Arabidopsis thaliana: one gene and its partners. Each later gene encodes a partner of the first gene's protein in a complex. Links are inferred from orthologs where the notes say so. Each region holds a gene or a part of one and is shown in the gene's direction. Other genes may lie near its edges. The genes, in order: PDE312, PTAC12, FSD3 and MRL7.

Region 1 (5,926 bases):
TTGCCTTTCATCAAACATAACAACTTTGTAACTCAAAACGACGCCGTTTTTAGTTTGTGTTACTATTCCCAAGGGACAGAAAAAATTATGCTCGAGAGCACGACGATTGATTTCTAAGCATTGATGTGAAATTGGATTAGCTAGGTATAACGATTGATCCTGAGGATAGACTCGACATCGATCAAAATAAACCCCATATCGGTGTTGTAAGGAACAACTTTGGCTTCTCGGTATATGTTCATTTCGAATTTATCGGTCATAAAAGACGAGATGTAAGAGTACTGGTACGATTAAATCCCCAAGTGTTGCATCTATGATGAGCCACAAGTTCTATCTTGTAACGCCTACACATGAGCGACCATGAAGAAGAATGGTGCAGAGACATGAACATGACACGAAAATGTGGAGACTCGATAATAGATTTCCACTGCTTACAAACCAGTTTAGAAGTCGTGATCATTTTTAGTGGTAATTGTGCAAGTATAATTGTCCATAGATCATCTGTGAAGAAACATATTCTTATTCATATGTGTTATTGGGATTTACTAAGGTGTATTTAAATACTGAATTTCACATAAATTTATTTCTCAATAATATCTAGCTTTTGCTGATAAATCTACGTAACATAATGGTATGTAAAAAAAAAGTAGATTATAAATTTAATATATGTGTACATAATAAACAGTAAGAGATTTGATCAAATTATATCTTTTCATGCTATTTAGTATTGTAATTTTCTGAAATAATCAATTATCCTAAAACAAGTTCATAAATAAAAAGTTAATATCCTAAACAATATTTACGTTTAATATATTTTCTCTATTAATACTAGATTTGATGGAAATTTTATCTATTTTAGTTATTTTATATAAAAAGTTTTTTTGGTTTATAATAATGAAAAACGTGATTAATGATAAAATCATAATAAGAGCGAAGGGCCCATTATAACAGCATTTATTTGGGCCGTTGTTGGTCTCAGGTTCCCGCTCTTTTTTATCGATCGAGGCGCCAAAACACAAAGAATCGATTATATGTTGTCATCTTTCAGATTGTCAATTCAAAGAAGACGATCAGATCTAATTGACTCGAGAGAGAGAGAGAGAGACGTATGTTTGGGAGGCTGAGACCACCGCCGTCGCCGCCGGATTGTCTGGAGAGATATCCGGCGAAGATCATCAAAGACGATCCTCTCTCCGTCTACGGTATAATAAATACACACTCTTTCCATTTTCATGTGATTCTGATTGTCCAATAGAAATCTCTAGGTTTTGAAATCCTTGGTTTCTTTTGATGGCATTGTAGAGTCAACACTGTTGAAACTTAAGCAAGGGTCAACAAGACAGGACACTACTTCATCAGAAACAGAAGGTGAAGAGAATCTGTCATCAACATCATCGTCTCATGTCTTGTCTTCGGATACACAATTAGGAGACACTCATGATGCAATGGCTATAGACTCGTGTGAAAGCTCGAAACAGATAAAGAGCAAGAACCCATCAGTACTATCCATGTTTAGCAAGTACAAGAATCAAGCTCAAGCACGAAACATGAAGACAGAGACTCAGGAATGATTTGTAAACAAATGTATCCCAAGTTCATGTGTGTTGTACTTTGATTATGTACAATTTAACTACATTGTTAGTAAGGAGTCTATATAGATGCCTGTATCAAAACATCTCTCAATCATGTGTTTATTACTTTAGCCTAAACAAGCTTTATGATCTTTAACCAACGGTGTTGATAGTACTGGTCATGTAGGGGTTCATCCATAACTAAACGTCTAAACCTTATATTAAAATGGGTCTAACTGATCAATCAAAAACATTTGGGGTCAAAACAATATATTGGATAAATATAAGGGTTCATCAAAAAAAACTTAACATTTCTTCTTCACTGTAAAATGAAATAAAGCTTATCCATACTCAACTTCTTCACTCTCTCTTAAACCTTCAAAAACCCTGAAGAGTGACGAATGAATCATGCAGATTTGCCAAACCAAGCTCAATTTCACTTTCCCTAATCCCACAAACCCTAATTTCTGCAAACCCAAAGCTCTTCAATGGTCACCGCCTCGTCGCATATCCTTGCTGCCTTGTCGTGGATTCAGCTCCGATGAATTCCCAGTCGACGAAACCTTCCTCGAGAAATTCGGACCAAAGGACAAAGACACAGAAGATGAAGCTCGACGACGTAACTGGATCGAACGTGGTTGGGCTCCATGGGAAGAGATTCTCACACCAGAAGCTGATTTCGCTCGTAAATCTCTCAACGAAGGTGAAGAAGTTCCGCTTCAATCGCCGGAAGCGATCGAAGCGTTTAAGATGCTGAGACCATCGTATAGGAAGAAGAAGATTAAGGAGATGGGGATAACAGAAGACGAATGGTATGCAAAGCAATTTGAGATTAGAGGTGATAAACCACCTCCTTTAGAAACATCTTGGGCTGGTCCGATGGTTCTTAGGCAAATTCCGCCGCGTGATTGGCCTCCCAGAGGTTGGGAAGTTGATAGGAAGGAGCTGGAGTTTATTAGGGAAGCTCATAAGTTAATGGCTGAAAGAGTTTGGCTTGAGGATTTGGATAAGGATTTGAGAGTTGGTGAAGATGCTACTGTTGATAAGATGTGTTTGGAGAGGTTTAAGGTTTTCTTGAAACAATACAAGGAATGGGTTGAAGATAATAAAGATAGGTTGGAGGAAGAATCTTACAAGGTTCGTTTTTTTTTTTGAACAATGAGATATTGTTAGCTTAGTGGTGGCTAAGAGAAGGATTCTAATAAAGATGATGTTTTTATTTATACAGCTCGATCAGGATTTTTATCCGGGTAGGAGGAAAAGAGGGAAGGATTACGAAGATGGGATGGTAAATATTATTATGCTACTGGATTTGATTGTTTGATTAGTTTGCTAGATGATGAACTGTTTGTAAGTTAATTGCTTTATTTTTCTTTGTGCAGTATGAGCTTCCCTTTTACTATCCAGGGATGGTAAGAATTCTTATTCTAAGCCTTGTATATTGTAACTAATGATTGGTTTAAATGAGCAATATCGTAATGTCCATGCAGGTTTGTGAAGGCACAGTTACCACTTTACATCTGTATCAGGGAGCGTTTGTTGACATTGGAGGTGTTCATGAAGGGTATGTTTATGTCTCTTTACTTTGTAAAGATAGACTTACCGTGGTTCTTGTATTTAGGGTATATAACGTAATATAATGTTGTCTCTTGTTTCATATGCTTTTTTTGAAAGATGTAAGTTTATGTGTCTATTGGTTTGCAGATGGGTACCTATAAAAGGTAATGACTGGTTTTGGATCCGGCATTTCATAAAAGTTGGGATGCATGTTATCGTTGAAATCACGGTAATCTTAAGGCACATATTCTTCTTTCGCATTTATAAAAATCTGAATGGAAATTGCTTCATTCTCCTTTTTCTTTTGTTCTTTCAGGCAAAAAGAGATCCATACCGGTTTCGGTTTCCCTTGGAGTTGCGCTTCGTCCATCCTAACATAGATCACATGATGTATGTAATTCACACGTATTTAATTCTCTTTACATATCCAGTAAAAATTGGCATTTTGGTTCTGTCCTCAATGGTCTTGGTTATGGTATATGTGTTGACTGTTTTTACATTCCTGCTCCAGATTTAATAAATTTGACTTCCCACCAATATTCCATCGTGATGGGGATACTAATCCAGATGAGATACGGGTCAGTAGAATCCTTTCCTAGAATATCAATCCATTTCGTGTTCTCGTGAAGAGTCTCCCTCTTATCTAATACATTGTTTGTACAGCGAGATTGTGGAAGACCTCCTGAACCTAGAAAAGATCCAGGATCAAAGCCAGAGGAGGAAGGGCTGCTCTCTGATCACCCTTATGTCGACAAGGTATTTTCCTGAGCAAAAGGGTTGGTTATGTGATTTTTGCTTTGTTTACTCATTAGGTTTATTGGCTTTCTAAATTTTGTGAAACCGTCAACACATTTCTTTCCCGTTTGCAGTTGTGGCAGATACATGTAGCTGAGCAAATGATTTTGGGTGATTACGAAGCTAACCCTGCAAAATACGAAGGCAAAAAGCTATCAGAATTATCTGATGATGAAGACTTTGATGAACAAAAGGATATCGAGTATGGCGAAGCTTATTATAAGAAAACCAAATTGCCAAAAGTGATTCTGGTGAGAGTTTCTTCTGGTGTGTTCGTGAAACCATACTGTCTTAAGCTTTGTGATTAAATGTGTTCTATTTCTGGCAGAAAACCAGTGTCAAGGAACTTGACTTAGAGGCTGCATTGACCGAGCGCCAGGTTTAAATTCTCTTCCCTACTTGTCGTCACCAATTTCCTTTAACCCACTGCTACGGAAATATTCTCGTTTGTATTTGTTTATTTTTAATAGATTTCCACTTCACACTGTCTTGGTAACTCCGATTGTCGTCACAGTTCCATTTTAAGGCTTTGCACTTTGTAATTGACACATTGTTGTATGAATCTTTTATACTGATAGTGGTTAATAACTCAATACTCTCCTGTTGTCTTGTGCAGCACCACAATAAACTAATGATGGAAGCTAAAGCAAGAGGAGAAGGATACAAAATTGACAAGCTCAGACGAAATATAGAGATGGACGAGTATGATTTCTTACACTGGCGCCGATCTTTGGAGGAAAGAGAAGCATTGCTCAGAGATATCAGCTCGTAAGTAAAAAAAAGTTCACTTTGATGTTTTTCAAAGAAAGTGTTTAGATGAAGAAGATTTATTTTGCAGTCGGCAAGCACTTGGTTTACCATTGGAGGAACCAGGGAGGTACAAGCCAGGAAGCTTCTTTGGGAAAGACCAGTACGATCCAACAAGTGCATTATATCAGTATGACTACTGGGGAGAGCCAAAGAACTCAGAGATTAGCAAGCAAGAGAGAATGAAGGATGCACACAACAAATCCATTGTTGGGAAAGGCAATGTGTGGTATGACATGTCTTACGATGATGCGATTAAGCAGACAATAGAGAAAAGAAAAGAAGGGTCTACCTTGGCGAGTCAAGAAGAAGAAACAGAGTCAGAGGAAGAAGAAGAGGATGACGATGATTTTGACGATTTTGACTATAGCATTCTGAGTGATGAGAGCAGTATCGGTTACTCGGAACAGCAACCTCTTGTTAACGGTACTCAAGTCTTGACAGACTGATGTTTAAAAGGAAAGTAAAAATAAGAAATTGTCGAGGTTGATTTATTTGAATTTTTGTCTGTTAGGTTTGATCTATTTGATAGTTTTTTTTTTTCATTTCTTCTTATCCCGGAGATAGTAAAATCAGTTTCTTATTAACTTAGCCAGACGTTTGGGATCTTGTAGTACACCGTTGAACGTTAGGAACGTGACGTTTTTTGTTTTTTCTATCAATCGTCGTCAGAGAAGGTAGTCTTGACACCGCAAAATACGCCTAAATGTTTCTCTTGTTTCTTCTGTTTGGGCTCCAAAACATCAACTTCTATCAAAAGGCTTTCTCGTTCGTACCTGGAATATCAAAAACCCTTGTCATCTCTCCGTGTATACCAAAAACTTCACACCATGTGTGCTCTTTGATGACAAAACTCTTAAGGCAAACTCTTACCAAAGCTACTCTGCAAGGTTGTACCTAATTCACAAAAATAATAGCATTAAACTTGTACAATGACATCAAAACTCTAAAGCAATAAGTTAGAGAACCAAATCTCCATAACATGGAAAATCAGTTTACTTGGGTCGGAGAGGGTATGGAGCTATCTCAGCTACGGAGAAGATGAAAACAGAGACGGTTTATTAGCCTGGAAGAGTTCGTTGAGAGCAGCAAAAGAAGTTATAAATATAAACCTTGAAGAGGAAGAGAGCGAGAGAAAAGAGGTGCTCCGAGTTGTATATGCTCGTTAAGGGTTTTCGCTCTTCTTTGTGGGCCTT
Region 2 (5,373 bases), on another chromosome or scaffold:
CATGGGATGTACCCAACAACACAAGGGACAGCTTCACCAGTCTGATTTATGCCACTGTCCCGTTCTTGTCCTCCCTCTGCCCCACCACTCCTTTGTTTTATTTCATCAGTAATAATACTACTAATTTTAGTTAGTGTTTAGATTAATCATAATGCAATAAACAAAGAAAAATATCTGATTTTTGGTAGAAAAACATACCAGCAGCTCATATACTATTAGTTCATATTTTTAACCGATAGTTGATTGTTAAAAAGAATGTTGATTCAAGAATTTTGTAAGAATTGCAACATTGTTGAACAACAGTGGCAAAACATACCATAAACTAATAGATACTAGTAACTATGATCACTGATCAAATAATGTATAAATCGGAGATTATTCTATGTAACATTTAACAAAAGTGTATTACAAGTAAATAAAGAATAAACTTTTTAAGTTACGAATGGTAAAAAACTAAAGAAATTTGTTAGTTCTCTGTTTGTATGCATGCATTGTCTCTCTGCTAAAATGTTCATGACAAGTCCACATCTACTCAAATACTCATCGAGGTGATTATCCTCGTCGTCGCTTTTATACACATGTAATATTACACACATCTATACATGGAGTATATTTTTAGCGAACGGATAGGTGCCATGTGGAGGTAAGTACACGTCGCCACTTGTGAGATTCTGTTCCAATTACTTGTGGAAGTGAATTATGTCGCAGAAAAAGTTTGACGAGATTTCCAATTAGCCACTCATTTATTAACGGTCACCAAAAGCATCAAATTACAGTTTTTTTTAGTGCTTTGAGATTCTTTTCCCTGACATATTGTTTTATGTAAAATAGCAAACTCGAAAAGATAGTAATAGTATCCAAATTATTATTATTACAGTATTATTTTTGATAAAAGGTTGTTATTCTTTTTTTATTTTTTTATTTATTGTATCTATTATATAATTCGAAACTGCTATATTGTTTGTCTTTAGTTTGCATCTCTAGCTTTATATATGCTTATGAAGTTTCAAATGTTGCTATTATATGCTGCTGATTCTTTTTTTCTTATGTAGGAGTATAGGTTTGACCGTTTGACAATACGAGAGGAAGAGGAAGTTGGGAAAAAACGACGCCGCATGGATAGTCTCGCTCGTTGCACGAATAGTTCAAAAGGTGACGTTAGGCGCGTGCGGGTCAGCGAAACTTGTGCCTAGTCAGACCTTTGTGGTATAGTCTTACGTGGTCTACGTCTGCCAAATTTCAGAAAACCAAAAAAACAATTATATGTTTGGTCCCTAGAAATAAATATTATCGTCGTTTAGCAAGTTTGAAGTAAGCAATAGTAGTATTAATGTATAAAAAGTGTAGGATATTAGGTTAAAATAGGCCTGTGATAGATACCGTAATGTCTATGATGTGTCTGGTCAGACCCATTTAATATTGGTTCAGACCATATTAGCACATTAGCCAATTGCCATTCACGTTGGGTCCAAACCTTCTTCCTTCTATAGTGTCTTAGACAAGTACGTACACACGCTGAAGTACAAATCATATACAAGTATTTATTCACTTAAAGGTACAATGATTGATGTTTTTTGTGTAACATGTTCCTCTAGTCCACTATATTAATCCATTACGGAGAGAACTATCTAAAAATTGTATAATCGCAATTGTAAATTGCAAATCTATTAACAAAACTAAGATGTGTTCACATGCATACTTCGATAAACATTCTTCCATATATCTTTTGTGTTAAGGCATGTTTTAAATGATCAAATCACATATTGATTTTATTTGAAAGTATATCAATATAATAAACTGTTTAGAAGATGTTTTGCCAAAAAAGAAAAAGATGTTTTGTTCTTCTTGGAAGTGTTTGTTAAAGCCCAAGAGAGACTTCAAGCTCACAATTTCTCAAAGATCCATTAATACTGGGCCTTAGTTAGATATACCAAGCCCATATACTTTCTCTTCACAAATTCCCGTTCTAATACCGGCGCGTCGTGAAATCTAGAGATTTTGCCGTCACCAGAATATGTTAATAAACGCAGGAGGAGATAAATGGATAAACCCAAAAACTGACAAGTGAAAACCTTTTGAAGCCAAAACCCCCTTCAAAATCAAGCTCCATGATAGAAAACCCTCTTCCTACATAATCTCCTGGTAAAACAAAAAGGTTAGTCTTTTTCTCCTCAACTTCGAGTGTGAAGCGTTTGTAAAAATGCCCAAAAAAATCGTACCTTGTTATGGACAATTTGTTGTATCAGGTTCTTCTTATCTGGGTTTTATGTTTTGTACTAGTTTGAAACTGATTCTGAGCATAATTGAATCGGTTGTTTTTGTAAATGATACAGTGAGAAGTAGAAAGAGTGTAAATGGCGTCAATATCAACCACCACCTGGCTCTACCGAGGTCAAGTATGCACAGACAGTGGAAAGTCCAGTAATTGTATTGTGCAGGTTGGTTCTTACACATCAAGTTTCTTGTTCTGATCCAAACTTATCTAATTTAGAGATAGTGAACATTTTAGCTTGTTTCAAGATGTCAAACTGGTAAAAGTTTGTTTATGTATGTAGAGACGGGTTAAATGTGGGTTTCCACTCAAGACATTGCATGCTGGGATTACTTCTAGGGATCGGTCTTTGCGACATTGTATCAAATGCAAGAAAGAGGATGGAGATGGTGATGTAAGTGAAGGGTCTAAGAAGAGTGAAGAAGGATTTGAGTATGTGACTGTTGAGAGGCATCCTTACCATAGTTATATGGATTCAACTTCTGGGAAGCTTGAGCCAGCGTCCGGGGCTCGGGCTAGTATTCCAGGTGAGGATTATTGGCCTGAAGGAACTTCGAGCCGGGTTAGAGCTGCTAGAGCTCCTCAACCAGCTGGTGAGTCTTCGAGTTTTCCTTCCTATGGAAAGAATCCTGGAAGTAGGAGAAAGAAGAATAGGAAAGCTACTGAGGAGAATGTGACTGTTGAAACGAATGACGAAGTATCCGATTCTGAGGATAGCTCTGAAGAAGAGGAAAATGATTCCTCGGATGGGTTTGTTACCTATAAGAATGAATTTGAGAGAGAAGAAGAGGAGACTGGTTTTGAATTAGACAAAAAGCTTGGAAGGCCACATCCTTTCATTGATCCTACGAAAAAGAAACAAATTGAAAAGACACTCACGAGCGATGAATCGTGGTGGAACTGGAGGAAACCGGAGAAAGAACAATGGTCAAGATGGCAAAGAAGACGTCCTGATGTTGAAACGGTTAGTCATCACAATGATTTCAGGTTTAAACATGTGTGTGTTTCCCCAATGTTTGATCCATTATGGTATTTTTTTTTGTTGTTGATGCAGGTTTTCCTCAAGGCAATGGCAGAAACAGGACAAGTGAAGCTCTATGGGGAAGAACCAACACTCACAGAAACTTCTCTTTATAGAGCAAGAAGGCATCTTTTCAAGGAAGAGAGGTATATTGATCTAACGAACTTTCAAGTGAAAATCTGTTTTATTAGGATTTTCTTTCGAGTTTTCTTTCTCTCAGGCTGCAAGCTGAGCGAGAGAGATTAGCGAAAGAAGGTCCAATGGCTTTTTATTCTGAATGGGTTAAAGCATGGAAGAGAGACACGTCAAGAGAAGCTGTACAAAAACATTTTGAAGAGACAGGTGAAGATGAAAACACACAACTGATTGAGATGTTCTCTCATCAAACAGATAGAGAATACCGGATAATGATGGGAACTGATATTAGGATCAAGAGAGATCCATTGGCAATGCGGATGAGGGAGGATCAAATTAAGCAAAGTAAGAAACTTTGACCGTTGAAGTTTGAACTAACTCATCATGGATATTCAATCGTTCGACTAACATTCTCGGTTTCTTGCAGTTTGGGGCGGGGATCCAGTTTACCCGACAATTAACTACATTCAAGATCCTAATGCGGTTATGGATTTCAGAGGACCTGATTTTCATGAGCCTACACCAAATATGCTCTCTTATCTAAAGGAGGTTAGTCTGCTTTGCTCAAAGTTCTATTCTTTTTCTTTCTTGGTCTGATTGTTTTCTTTGTTTCTGATTTGATCAGAATGGCAAAGTCATCTCAAGAGAGATGCATGAAGCACTACTGACAAAAGAGAAAACCGAGCAGCTCGAGGTAAAGTGACCAATCTTTCATTTCCTTTGACACAACTCTGATTGTGAGATTTCAGGGTTTCGCTTGATATGTTCGATAAATTGTATGAATGCAGGTACCTGACATGGATGATGCAATGGCACAAGCTGTTGATATTGGTGAAAACGATGTGAGTATCATCGATTACATCAGATCCTCTTCTTCTTTATTGTTTCTTGATGTATCATGCTCTGAAACATCTCCGGACATTTTTTGACAGGACGACGAAGACGATGCAGATGTAGAAAAAGACGACGAGAAAGTGCCGAGGAACTGGAGTGTCTTGAAGGAAACCCCTGAGCTTCGCACCGCCAAGGTAAAGTCACATTCAACTTGAGCCACATTATATGTCTTGTGTGGTGTGTTGATGTTATGAGCTTGGTTTCTTAAACAGCCTAAACCAAAGAAGGAAGGTCGGATGTCTCTAGACGAGGCCGTGGATGATGCTGAGAACTTAACTGATTTTCTCATGGACTTTGAAGAGGAGACTGATCCTTAAACCTGGTTTTCGTATTTCTTATGTAAAGACGTTATTTAGGGCAACTTTTTCTTCACTGGTTTTGCTTGTATACTTGGAAGGGATGATATCATTTAGGAGTGGATTTGAGTTTTGCAAGTGATTTGTATCATATGGAATTCAAATATTTTTGATTGAATTTATAGAGTTTTGAAAGTGATTTGTTAACTGTACTGCATCCTGTTTAGTTCAGCTTGAGACGGTTTAATCTGTTAAAACAAGACCTAAACCGAATTCGCAAGGAATATGATTTCACAATTAGTATCTGTCTCCTTTTTTTGTCATGTGTAGTTTAAAACCAAAGCCACAGCTTGTCAAACATTATTGTTTCGTGAAACGAATTGGACCAACAAAATCCTACAAATGAAATGAGGAATGTTTTGGTGTATAGAGAGAAACATTACTTAATCTCACTTGTTTCTGGTGATGACTCTATGGGTCAAGTCAATAAGTGCCCGCCTCGATCTTTTGACATCTTCATTGTCTGTTTCAGGTAGAGACCCGATTGCAGCTGCTGCTAGATTCGCATGTTCCATGGCTAATTCTCTTGCCCTCTGTATTCCCTTGCTCTTCCCAAGATACTCTAAAGCCTGTGTGATATAATAGTATTAGAGACTATGAAAACATATTATAGATTTTAGGAGATTTGTTTCTTTCAAACTTACAATGTCAACATTCCTAGGATCTTTTTCAACTTGATCAACAACTTCGCGTAG
Region 3 (4,180 bases), on another chromosome or scaffold:
CCTTCCTTGAAGCATGCGCAGTCCTGCAGTATTGGGTGATGAAACATTGATCACCTGAAGAGAAAAATGAAAATTAGGAACAAAGAATTCTACGGTGGATTAGATCAAATTCATGTTCGATATATCATGGTAAGAAGTTTGTACCAAGTAATCAGCATACTGGGATAAGTTATGAACTCCTTGGACATAGTCAGCAGCAGCATCCTCACTCGTCTTGTTCTTTCCAAGGTTGACCCCAAGAATACCAGGTCCAGATTTTCCCCCTGGTTTTACATCATCACTTGGAGATGACGAAGTAGCTGATGTTTCAGCCAACATTCTTTTACCATGTTGAGCACCCAACCGCTTTGCAACGACAACAATCCCTTCGCTATTAAATCCACACCTATTGATAATAGCTCTGGGAGGACCAAAATATAAGTCTTTTAGTTTAAACTATCTTGCTTCTTCAATCATTGAAGGTCTTTTATAGATTAGAGATTCTCACCCTTCTTGGCTTAGTCTGAAGATACGTGGTTTCGGATTGCCTTCTTGTGGAACAGGAGTTACAGAGCCTACCTCAACAAAGCCAAATCCCATCCCTAGCAGTCCCTCAGTAGCCTCAGCGTTTTTGTCAAATCCAGCAGCAAGCCCAATTGGGTTTGAGAATTTCCTTCCCCAAACTTCAAGTCCCAAGATTGCTGGATCAGGCCTCTTTTCTCTAGGTACCCACCCGCGAGCTGCAGCTGAAACAGCCAGCTTATGCGCAAACTCAGCATCCAGAAGAGCAAAGAAAGGATTCACAACCTTTGTTGCGTTGAATAGCCACCCACTGTCCAACACACAAAATAGGTAAGAGGTAAAAAACAAAGTGACTTCCTCAAAGTAACTACAAGGTAGCCTTAGCAATGTCAACTAACAAAGAGAACAAAAAGACTAAGTTTCAGGGCACTTATTAAGTAAAGTACCAGAAGGTTGCTTCATCTGCAGTACTAACATAAGCTCCTCCAGCTATGGCCAGACCAATGGTAGCTCCTGTCAATATCCTTCCCTATAAATTTTCAAAGTCAAACACTTTGCTCTTGTAAAATGAAATAGCATCAATGATCTAACTCTACTACACCAATTAATGTGCCATATTCAGATCAAAACAAGAGTTGCAACTCCTTATCTTAAGGAATAAGATTCCAATATGATTCGAATAAACCAAAAATGAGATTAATTTATCAATAAATTCATCAAAGCTACTCACTCTCTTGGAAAAATGAGGGACTTTCGGTGCAGAAGAAGCTCCAGGAACCGAAGAACAGTTACGGGTAGCTCCAAGAGGATTAGACGAAACCCTTCTGAACAAAAACTCTCTCGCCCATTTCGCCGACGACGTCGCAGCCCTTCCGGCCATTAGGTAAGATGATTAAATCGACAGTGGAATCAAACAGAGTTCGAAAATGGTTGCTTTGAAATCTATAAGAAGAGGGTTTTAGCCTTCTAGCTCACGGCTTGAATCTTGATAGAGAGAAAAATATACGCTTTTTGTTTGTTGTTCGGTTACAAAGGATCGTCAGAGTATTTGCTAAAACCCTTGCTTCCTTCAGGTTGATCTTTCCGGTTCGATTTACCGGTTTAATGTAGTTAACCGGGGTAAAATCTTATATGTTAACCGGTTTGAAAAGAGATTGATAAGGAAGGCCCTTTCTCTGAAAAAGCGAGACCAAGAGTGCGAAGTAGCTCTCTGTCTTTCGAAGCAGAAGTGAGACTTTGACGACAACAGTGGGAGGAACTATGAGTTCTTGTGTTGTGACGACAAGCTGTTTCTATACAATTTCAGATTCTAGTATACGTTTGAAATCCCCCAAGCTCCTCAATCTGGTTCGTTTCTTTGTGTGACATGGAAATTGCTGTGGTTCTGTTTCACATGAATCTATCTCTTTTAAGCACTAAAGCTTTCAAATTTCGTTTCCTTATAGAGTAACCAGCAGAGAAGACGCTCTCTTAGGTCTCGAGGTGGTTTAAAGGTTGAAGCTTACTACGGTCTAAAGACACCTCCTTATCCACTTGTAAGTGCAAATAAGACTTTGGTATTTGTATTTGGATTCTAAGTGTAGTAACTATGTCTTGCTTCTGTAATCCAATTCTGTTCTCGACTAAGCACGGAACTGTAGAAAGTTTGTTAATTTGGGTGAATTGTCTTGTGAGTATAGGAAAGATTGTGTCTTGATCTGTGTATCTTCTATCTTGCAAAGTAGATGTGTCTTGATCTTTAGGGCCTTGGTGATATGTCAAAGAAGATGGTATAGTTGAGATTCTAATTAGAGTTAAAAACAAATGTGAATAGGATGCTTTGGAGCCGTATATGAGTAGAAGAACACTAGAAGTGCATTGGGGAAAACACCATCGAGGTTATGTAGATAATCTGAATAAACAGTTAGGGAAAGATGATAGACTCTATGGATACACCATGGAAGAGCTTATCAAGGCTACATACAACAACGGGAATCCTTTACCCGAGTTCAACAACGCTGCACAGGTACTTTATATTCTAAGTAACTTGTACATTATCACCCGAGGCACACACTAATGTTGGAAGGATTGATGATGATTATGTTGTTGTTTAGGTCTATAACCATGATTTCTTCTGGGAGTCGATGCAACCTGGTGGTGGAGACACGCCTCAAAAGGGTGTTCTTGAGCAGATTGATAAGGATTTTGGTTCTTTCACAAATTTTAGAGAAAAGTTCACTAATGCAGCTCTTACTCAGTTTGGTTCTGGATGGGTCTGGCTTGTCTGTGAGAAACTTGACTAGCTTTTCACTTGGTATTAAACTGTAGAATGACTTTGAAAATGGAAAATTTTGATTCTCTTTTTGTTTTTTTCTGGAAAATTTCAGTAAAGAGGGAAGAGAGAAGGCTTGAGGTGGTCAAAACCTCAAACGCCATTAACCCACTCGTGTGGGACGATATTGTATGTTAGAGTTTTATTAGTTAGTTTTCTTGTTGAACTTAATGTTACCTCTTGATCACATCTCTTTTGTTGTTACAGCCAATCATCTGCGTGGATGTGTGGGAGGTACACCATCTCCTCTCTTCTGTCATTCTTCCAAGAAACACTTTGAAACATTTTCTAATATCTTTCGTTTTCTTATCTTACTTTGCAGCACTCTTATTATCTGGACTACAAGGTAAAAACCTAGCTTAAATTCCGACCATTCTGTGTTCTTTTTGTTCGTTCAAAAGGCTAAATCAGTGTTTGTTTCTTTCTTTCTCCGGTTGCTAGAACGACAGGGCTAAGTATATAAACACATTTCTGAACCACTTGGTGTCGTGGAACGCTGCCATGAGTCGGATGGCCCGTGCAGAAGCGTTTGTGAATCTTGGTGAACCCAACATCCCAATCGCTTAAGCTAAACACAACTCCTTGGAAACTTGGGCAGTCTCATTTTTGCAAACAGAGGTCTCAAGTCCCAAGTCCCAACCAACAAAACAAGAGTTGCTTTCTGAATGTGACCCATCTTTTTGTTCTGTGTAATTTAGCGACAGTTTTCTCTTCTTTTGCCTTTTGAGAGACTCTCTAGCTTTAAGATCATCAGTGAGCCCTGTATGGTGACAGTAATGTTAGTGACGCAATTAACCCTTATTAAGTTATAATAAAACGAAGGCTGGCTCACGTGACCCGCACGTGACTGAGAGTATCCGTTTCCTCTTCTTTCTTTTCTTCTTCTTCTTCTTCTTCTTCGTCTCCTGACAATAGGGATTGACACCATCGTTCACTTCAACGTAAAGGTATAAACTTTCTTCCTCCTTAACGTCAAAGTTTCACGCGATCGTCTCTGTGGAACTCCCTCAGCATCGGGTAATTCCCTGATTTTCCCAACTCGCTCTCGCGGAAACTCTCGATTTCGATTGGGCTCTTGAGGTTCTGTTCATTTCCTCGTCTATGAATTTTCTACAATTGATTAGGAGTCGTGCCCATAACTGCGTGAGTAAAAAGGGAAAATTTTCTTAAAGATAAGCAATTTCAAGCTTTGTGTTCGTGAAATTTATCCTTGTATGAAACTTGCAATGCGATTGTTGTGTTGGTTGGTGGGTTTTCTGTAAAATCTCAATGTTCATGTAGGACCTGGGTTTTGGCAGATTCAGTGCCATAAAGACTGTAGTGTTAGTCCTCATATTACATTTGTATGGTTGCTAAATGGTCAAACTG
Region 4 (4,335 bases), on another chromosome or scaffold:
TATTAATAAAGTGGTATATAAAATGATGGAGCATGTGAAATTAACAACATATCATGATTCATTTAAATTTGTTAGTTTTTAATTGTAGATGTTTTAGATATTTTACCATTTATATTTCTAATAGTTGTTACTATTAACATGAAAAAAGTGAATTTTAAAATACATTATGTATCTTGAAGGTTGAATTATTTTTGTCATTTTTTAATCTATTAATATGTGTGGAGACATCTAATCGAGGGAGTACTGACTCTTGTTAGTTGTTAGGTAGATGTTTAGGTTATAAAGTTGGACATTATAAGGATGTATAGAAAGTAGATATTGAATAAATAAAACTAGCTGTCAATTGGTAAAATGTAGAAAATCAACTTCCAAATTTGAAGTTTAATATATGGTTAATTACATCATTTAGATATATTTATCAAAAACATCTCATCCATACTTAGTAAGTTAATATTCATATCAATCTTTAATATATATTATGAATATATGTCATAATAACATGGCAGACGTGAGACGACCAATAATAAAAATAACTTAATGCCAAAACAAATTTATATGATGAGATTTATGAGTAGACTCGTTAAAATATTCCTCAGTGAAAAAGTATTGCATACCTCAATGAAATTGGTGTGAGGTCCATAAAAGAGAGTTCAAGAAAGAAAGTACACATATTTACATTTTGAGTCATCGAAGTTCCATTTTACAAATATTAATACGTCACTGAAAAATGAAAATACCTACAAGAAGATATATGTGTACTGTGTAACTGTAACAGATTGGGTGTAAGAAATCGAGAATTCTTTTACTTCTTATTAATAAAGAAGATAAAAACACATGCTTTTATGCAAACTATATAAAAGAAACACAAAACAAAATTACATTCACACATGGAACCAACTATACAATAAAACATTGCAGTTTTCAATGGGCCACGAGTCTTAATGCATGTGAAACCAGTGATCAGTGACCACGTGTTAGGCTTTAATTTGTGAATTCCATATGATCCAACAATTTAACAATATCATCTATTCTAACTTGTATAAATTTATTTCGTCTAAACTGAGCCTTCTTAACCCCAAAGATTTGGCAATCGAGTTTATGAACTCCGATTTTATCTTACTCACACATTCTAAACTATAGGAAGAATTTCTTTATATCTTCCACCCATTGACAAAGATCGTACTATGTAATAAATTAGACCGCAAACAATTAACTTTATAAGAATATACCTTGGATAAAAATAAAAACAATAAGAGAACAATGTCAAAAACAATCACTAAAAACTTTTCTTTTATTTCACAAAACAAAAACTTTTCTTGAAGGTAAGTGAAAAATATTTAATTGATTGTAGAAAAGACGTTGTTCTTTTTGTTTACGGGTTTCGGGCTACACCGTCGTCACCTGAGGCGGTCTATATGTTTGTGTCTTCGAGGCTGTCATGATACTAAAAGATTAGAAATAGAATCGAAAAATTCACTTTGTAGAAAAGTTATATATTAGCTCGAAACAAAACAGTTAGACAATAGACGTACCTCGAATTAATACGTCATCCTTATTAGATTCTTTTTCTTGTGTGTGCGAAACCTTATTAGGTTCTTCACACCGTTTTTCACAAAGGTAACGTAAGAGACGACAAATCAACACGGCACAGAACACCAACAAAAACACAATGCATCCCAAAATAATCTTCTCCATATCGTGTCTGCTTCTTCTTCTTGCATACAAATTATATTTAAACACTAGTATGTGTACTGTTAACGAGTTTACATTTTGAGGTCAGAAAATATTCCATTTTAGGATCTTATGACTATGTAAAGTTTACATATTTTATCAATGTTTCTAATTTGTGATCACATTATGGATATTGTGATCACATAACGAAATGGGAAAATGCCAAAAAAAGAACATATCCAACTTTAAAATTTGCCAAAAATATTTCAAATTTTTCATTAACGGAGGCGAGGAGCTAGGTATATGAAATTATGAATATTTCAAACGACGCTGTTTCGATTATATAAACTAAACCAAGTATCGGGAAAGATAACCGATCCAAATCAAGGACAGTAACACAAACCGAAATAATCCAAACCGGGATTATACAGACAAAGTGGATTATAAGAGCAAAAACTCAGTTACCAAAAATTTCTGCGAATTTCGTTTTGAATTTAGGAAACGAGAGAAATGAGTTTCTTCGCTGTTGCTTGCTCCGCGCCAAGATCTTCTATGCTTCTCACCGGCTTGAATTCGAGCTTCTCTGATATGCATCGCAGCCCACTATTTGTTTTCCCGGTGACTATATCATCCCGGAGCGTGAAACGCTTCGCCGCTGTTTCGTCTGATTCCGTACTAGACCCTGAATCCAAAAATCAAACTCGGTCCCGTCGCAAAAATAAGGAAGCAGTTACGCCAATTGCTGAAACCGAGAACAATGAAAAGTTTCCGACAAAGGTCCCGCGTAAATCGAAGCGTGGGCGGCGGAGTGAAGCAGACGCTGTGGAAGATTACGTGAGAAGCTCCCTCGAGCGTACTTTCTCCACCATAAAGGAGCAGAATCCGGAGGTTTTTGAGAACAAGGAGAAGGCGAATTTCATCAAAGACAGAGGCGTTGATGAAGAAGAGGAAGAAGAAGAAGAGATGGTGGTGGAAGAGGAAGATCCAGATTGGCCAGTAGATACAGACGTTGGATGGGGAATCAAAGCTTCGGAGTATTTCGATACACATCCAATCAAAAACGTGGTTGGAGATGATGGGAGTGAGATTGATTGGGAAGGTGAGATTGATGATAGTTGGGTCAAGGAGATCAATTGTTTGGAATGGGAAAGCTTTGCTTTTCATCCTAGTCCACTCGTTGTCCTTGTATTCGAGCGATACAAAAGGTATAAGCTTTGTTATTTCATTGACGAATTTTCACAAACACTTGGTGTGCATAGTAGAACTATGAAAGCTTTGTTCTTTTTCCTTCACAACATTATCTAGACTATGATTACAAGTTGAAAGAGCCATTTGAGTTAGATTCCATGATCAATTAACTGCAATGAGTATAAAAACTGAAACTTGTTCTTAGAGTGACCAAAATCTACTACTGTTGGAATAATTTTTTGAGTTGTTGTGCGTTTTATAGAGCTAGTGATAACTGGAAGACATTGAAGGAGCTTGAGAAAGCTATCAAAGTTTATTGGGATGCGAAAGATCGATTACCTCCACGGGTATGTCGAAAGCCTTCTCTAGTTGCAGTTTTAACTTGAACATTACTCTTTGTGTACTAATCTCTCTTGGTGTGATTACATGTTAATGTGGCTGCTCTCTGTTAACAAGAATCACCATGTTTTATGAAACAGGCGGTTAAGATTGACCTGAACATCGAGACAGATTTGGCATATGCTCTTAAAGCTAAGGAATGCCCACAGATTCTCTTCTTACGCGGAAACCGGATTCTGTACAGGGAGAAAGGTGATAAGCTATGTTGCTAACGTTGTTTTCATGTTTTTTTGCAATATGTGTGAGCAATAGATTATCATAGCGTATTGAACTTGATGCAGACTTTCGCACGGCGGATGAATTGGTTCATATGATTGCGCATTTCTACTATAAAGCGAAGAGGCCTTCGTGTGTCGACAAGGCTAATGTAACCCCGTACTGTTAGTTTGTAACGGGCATAGAGTAGTTTCACTCAAAAGGTCAGTCTAGGAAAATTTACATAAACTTCACTCATAGATTGTTAACATTTTTGTATGTTCTATGCAAATATAAACTTGTTCCCAAGTAATGGATTTTACTCGTCAATCTGTGCTTTCCCTAACACGTTGATTCGTAACCAATGATGCATACATATATCAAGAAGCCAGCTCCTTTTATAGAAAAATTGTTTGAAGGATAAACTATTAATGCAAAAATCCATAACATAAAAACAAAAGCATTGAATCAATAAGAAAAAGCAAACTAAAAAAAAAATGAATTCCACAAAGCTAATCTCATAATGACTAAACCTAATGTGTTTAGTCTCTTATCAGTCAAGTAGCTTCTTCCACTTGGCGTAACCAACGGTGACTATGAAAAGCACAATGCAAAGCGCAACGACAGCCCACACAACGTAACCAAAGATGTCAGGTGTGCTATACAATCCAATTGGTATATTCATACCGAACAAGTTGACCACCACTGTCCCTGCAGTTATTGCATAATTGCCTATATTCACAAGCATCATTAGGTGGATCAGTCCGTTACGTCTACTATTCTGTAGTATCTTCACGTAGGCTTCTGTGCTGTCAATATGCTCCTTCATCTGCAATTCAAAAAAATATTAAATTACCAAGGACCGGGCATTAACACATAACA

The links.
Region 2: PDE312 (region 1) and PTAC12 share a complex: the UniProt entries of both Arabidopsis thaliana proteins name them as parts of the transcriptionally active chromosome (TAC) complex.
Region 3: the proteins of PDE312 (region 1) and FSD3 are in contact, whole or in part, in a cryo-EM structure (PDB 8XZV), measured with the Spinacia oleracea proteins. The link is inferred for Arabidopsis thaliana from one-to-one orthologs. Residues at the interface, in XP_021866326.1 of Spinacia oleracea: Arg80, Lys81, Trp84, Val85, Trp89, Pro91, Glu156, Leu158, Arg177, Asp178, Arg188, Glu192, Arg195, His198, Lys199, Ala202, Arg204, Tyr276, Pro277, Tyr314, Trp315, Glu329, Leu331, Arg346, Asp353, His354, Leu355, Leu356, Phe357, Arg359; in XP_021853685.1 of Spinacia oleracea: Tyr59, Tyr60, Gly61, Leu62, Lys63, Lys64, Pro65, Pro66, Leu100, Asp104, Leu106, Tyr107, Gly108, His109, Thr110, Lys116, Val117, Tyr119, Asn120, Tyr121, Gly122, Asn123, Glu142, Lys194, Ser204, Asn205, Arg258, Gln260, Ala261, Phe262.
Region 4: PDE312 (region 1) and MRL7 share a complex: the UniProt entries of both Arabidopsis thaliana proteins name them as parts of the transcriptionally active chromosome (TAC) complex.

What each region holds. Positions count from the first base shown.
Region 1 is NC_003074.8:17,960,230-17,966,155, forward strand, and holds PDE312 (Nucleic acid-binding, OB-fold-like protein), read left to right. Parts: upstream 1-1,933; 5' UTR 1,934-1,979; coding exon 1,980-2,708; intron 2,709-2,799; coding exon 2,800-2,859; intron 2,860-2,953; coding exon 2,954-2,983; intron 2,984-3,061; coding exon 3,062-3,135; intron 3,136-3,275; coding exon 3,276-3,518; intron 3,519-3,639; coding exon 3,640-3,706; intron 3,707-3,791; coding exon 3,792-3,884; intron 3,885-3,997; coding exon 3,998-4,174; intron 4,175-4,251; coding exon 4,252-4,302; intron 4,303-4,539; coding exon 4,540-4,691; intron 4,692-4,761; coding exon 4,762-5,179; 3' UTR 5,180-5,384; downstream 5,385-5,926. Other genes in the region: AT3G48490 (uncharacterized protein), read left to right, coding at 1,109-1,202, 1,303-1,571.
Region 2 is NC_003071.7:14,581,327-14,586,699, reverse strand, and holds PTAC12 (plastid transcriptionally active 12), read left to right. Parts: upstream 1-1,902; 5' UTR 1,903-2,155; intron 2,156-2,333; 5' UTR 2,334-2,354; coding exon 2,355-2,438; intron 2,439-2,555; coding exon 2,556-3,236; intron 3,237-3,326; coding exon 3,327-3,439; intron 3,440-3,513; coding exon 3,514-3,773; intron 3,774-3,855; coding exon 3,856-3,977; intron 3,978-4,053; coding exon 4,054-4,122; intron 4,123-4,216; coding exon 4,217-4,270; intron 4,271-4,360; coding exon 4,361-4,456; intron 4,457-4,534; coding exon 4,535-4,639; 3' UTR 4,640-4,865; downstream 4,866-5,373. Other genes in the region: GPS1 (geranyl diphosphate synthase 1), read right to left, coding at 5,068-5,247, 5,323-5,373. UniProt on the Arabidopsis thaliana protein: Involved in plastid gene expression. Acidic transcriptional coactivator necessary for the transactivation of many PIFs target genes (class B genes), particularly during the regulation of hypocotyl growth.
Region 3 is NC_003076.8:7,848,863-7,853,042, forward strand, and holds FSD3 (Fe superoxide dismutase 3), read left to right. Parts: upstream 1-1,581; 5' UTR 1,582-1,761; coding exon 1,762-1,848; intron 1,849-1,946; coding exon 1,947-2,036; intron 2,037-2,314; coding exon 2,315-2,506; intron 2,507-2,594; coding exon 2,595-2,766; intron 2,767-2,867; coding exon 2,868-2,941; intron 2,942-3,019; coding exon 3,020-3,046; intron 3,047-3,134; coding exon 3,135-3,158; intron 3,159-3,253; coding exon 3,254-3,379; 3' UTR 3,380-3,672; downstream 3,673-4,180. Other genes in the region: PYRD (pyrimidine d), read right to left, coding at 1-54, 145-400, 488-811, 948-1,030, 1,232-1,381. UniProt on the Arabidopsis thaliana protein: Destroys superoxide anion radicals which are normally produced within the cells and which are toxic to biological systems. Plays important role in chloroplast development, particularly in the maintenance of thylakoids membranes.
Region 4 is NC_003075.7:14,124,675-14,129,009, reverse strand, and holds MRL7 (polyadenylate-binding protein 2-binding protein), read left to right. Parts: upstream 1-1,927; 5' UTR 1,928-2,181; coding exon 2,182-2,876; intron 2,877-3,121; coding exon 3,122-3,206; intron 3,207-3,338; coding exon 3,339-3,450; intron 3,451-3,539; coding exon 3,540-3,643; 3' UTR 3,644-3,798; downstream 3,799-4,335. Other genes in the region: MGT5 (magnesium transport 5), read right to left, coding at 4,007-4,282. UniProt on the Arabidopsis thaliana protein: Plays an essential role in early steps of chloroplast development. Involved in the regulation of plastid gene expression. May positively regulate plastid-encoded RNA polymerase (PEP) activity through binding to FSD3 and CITRX/TRXZ.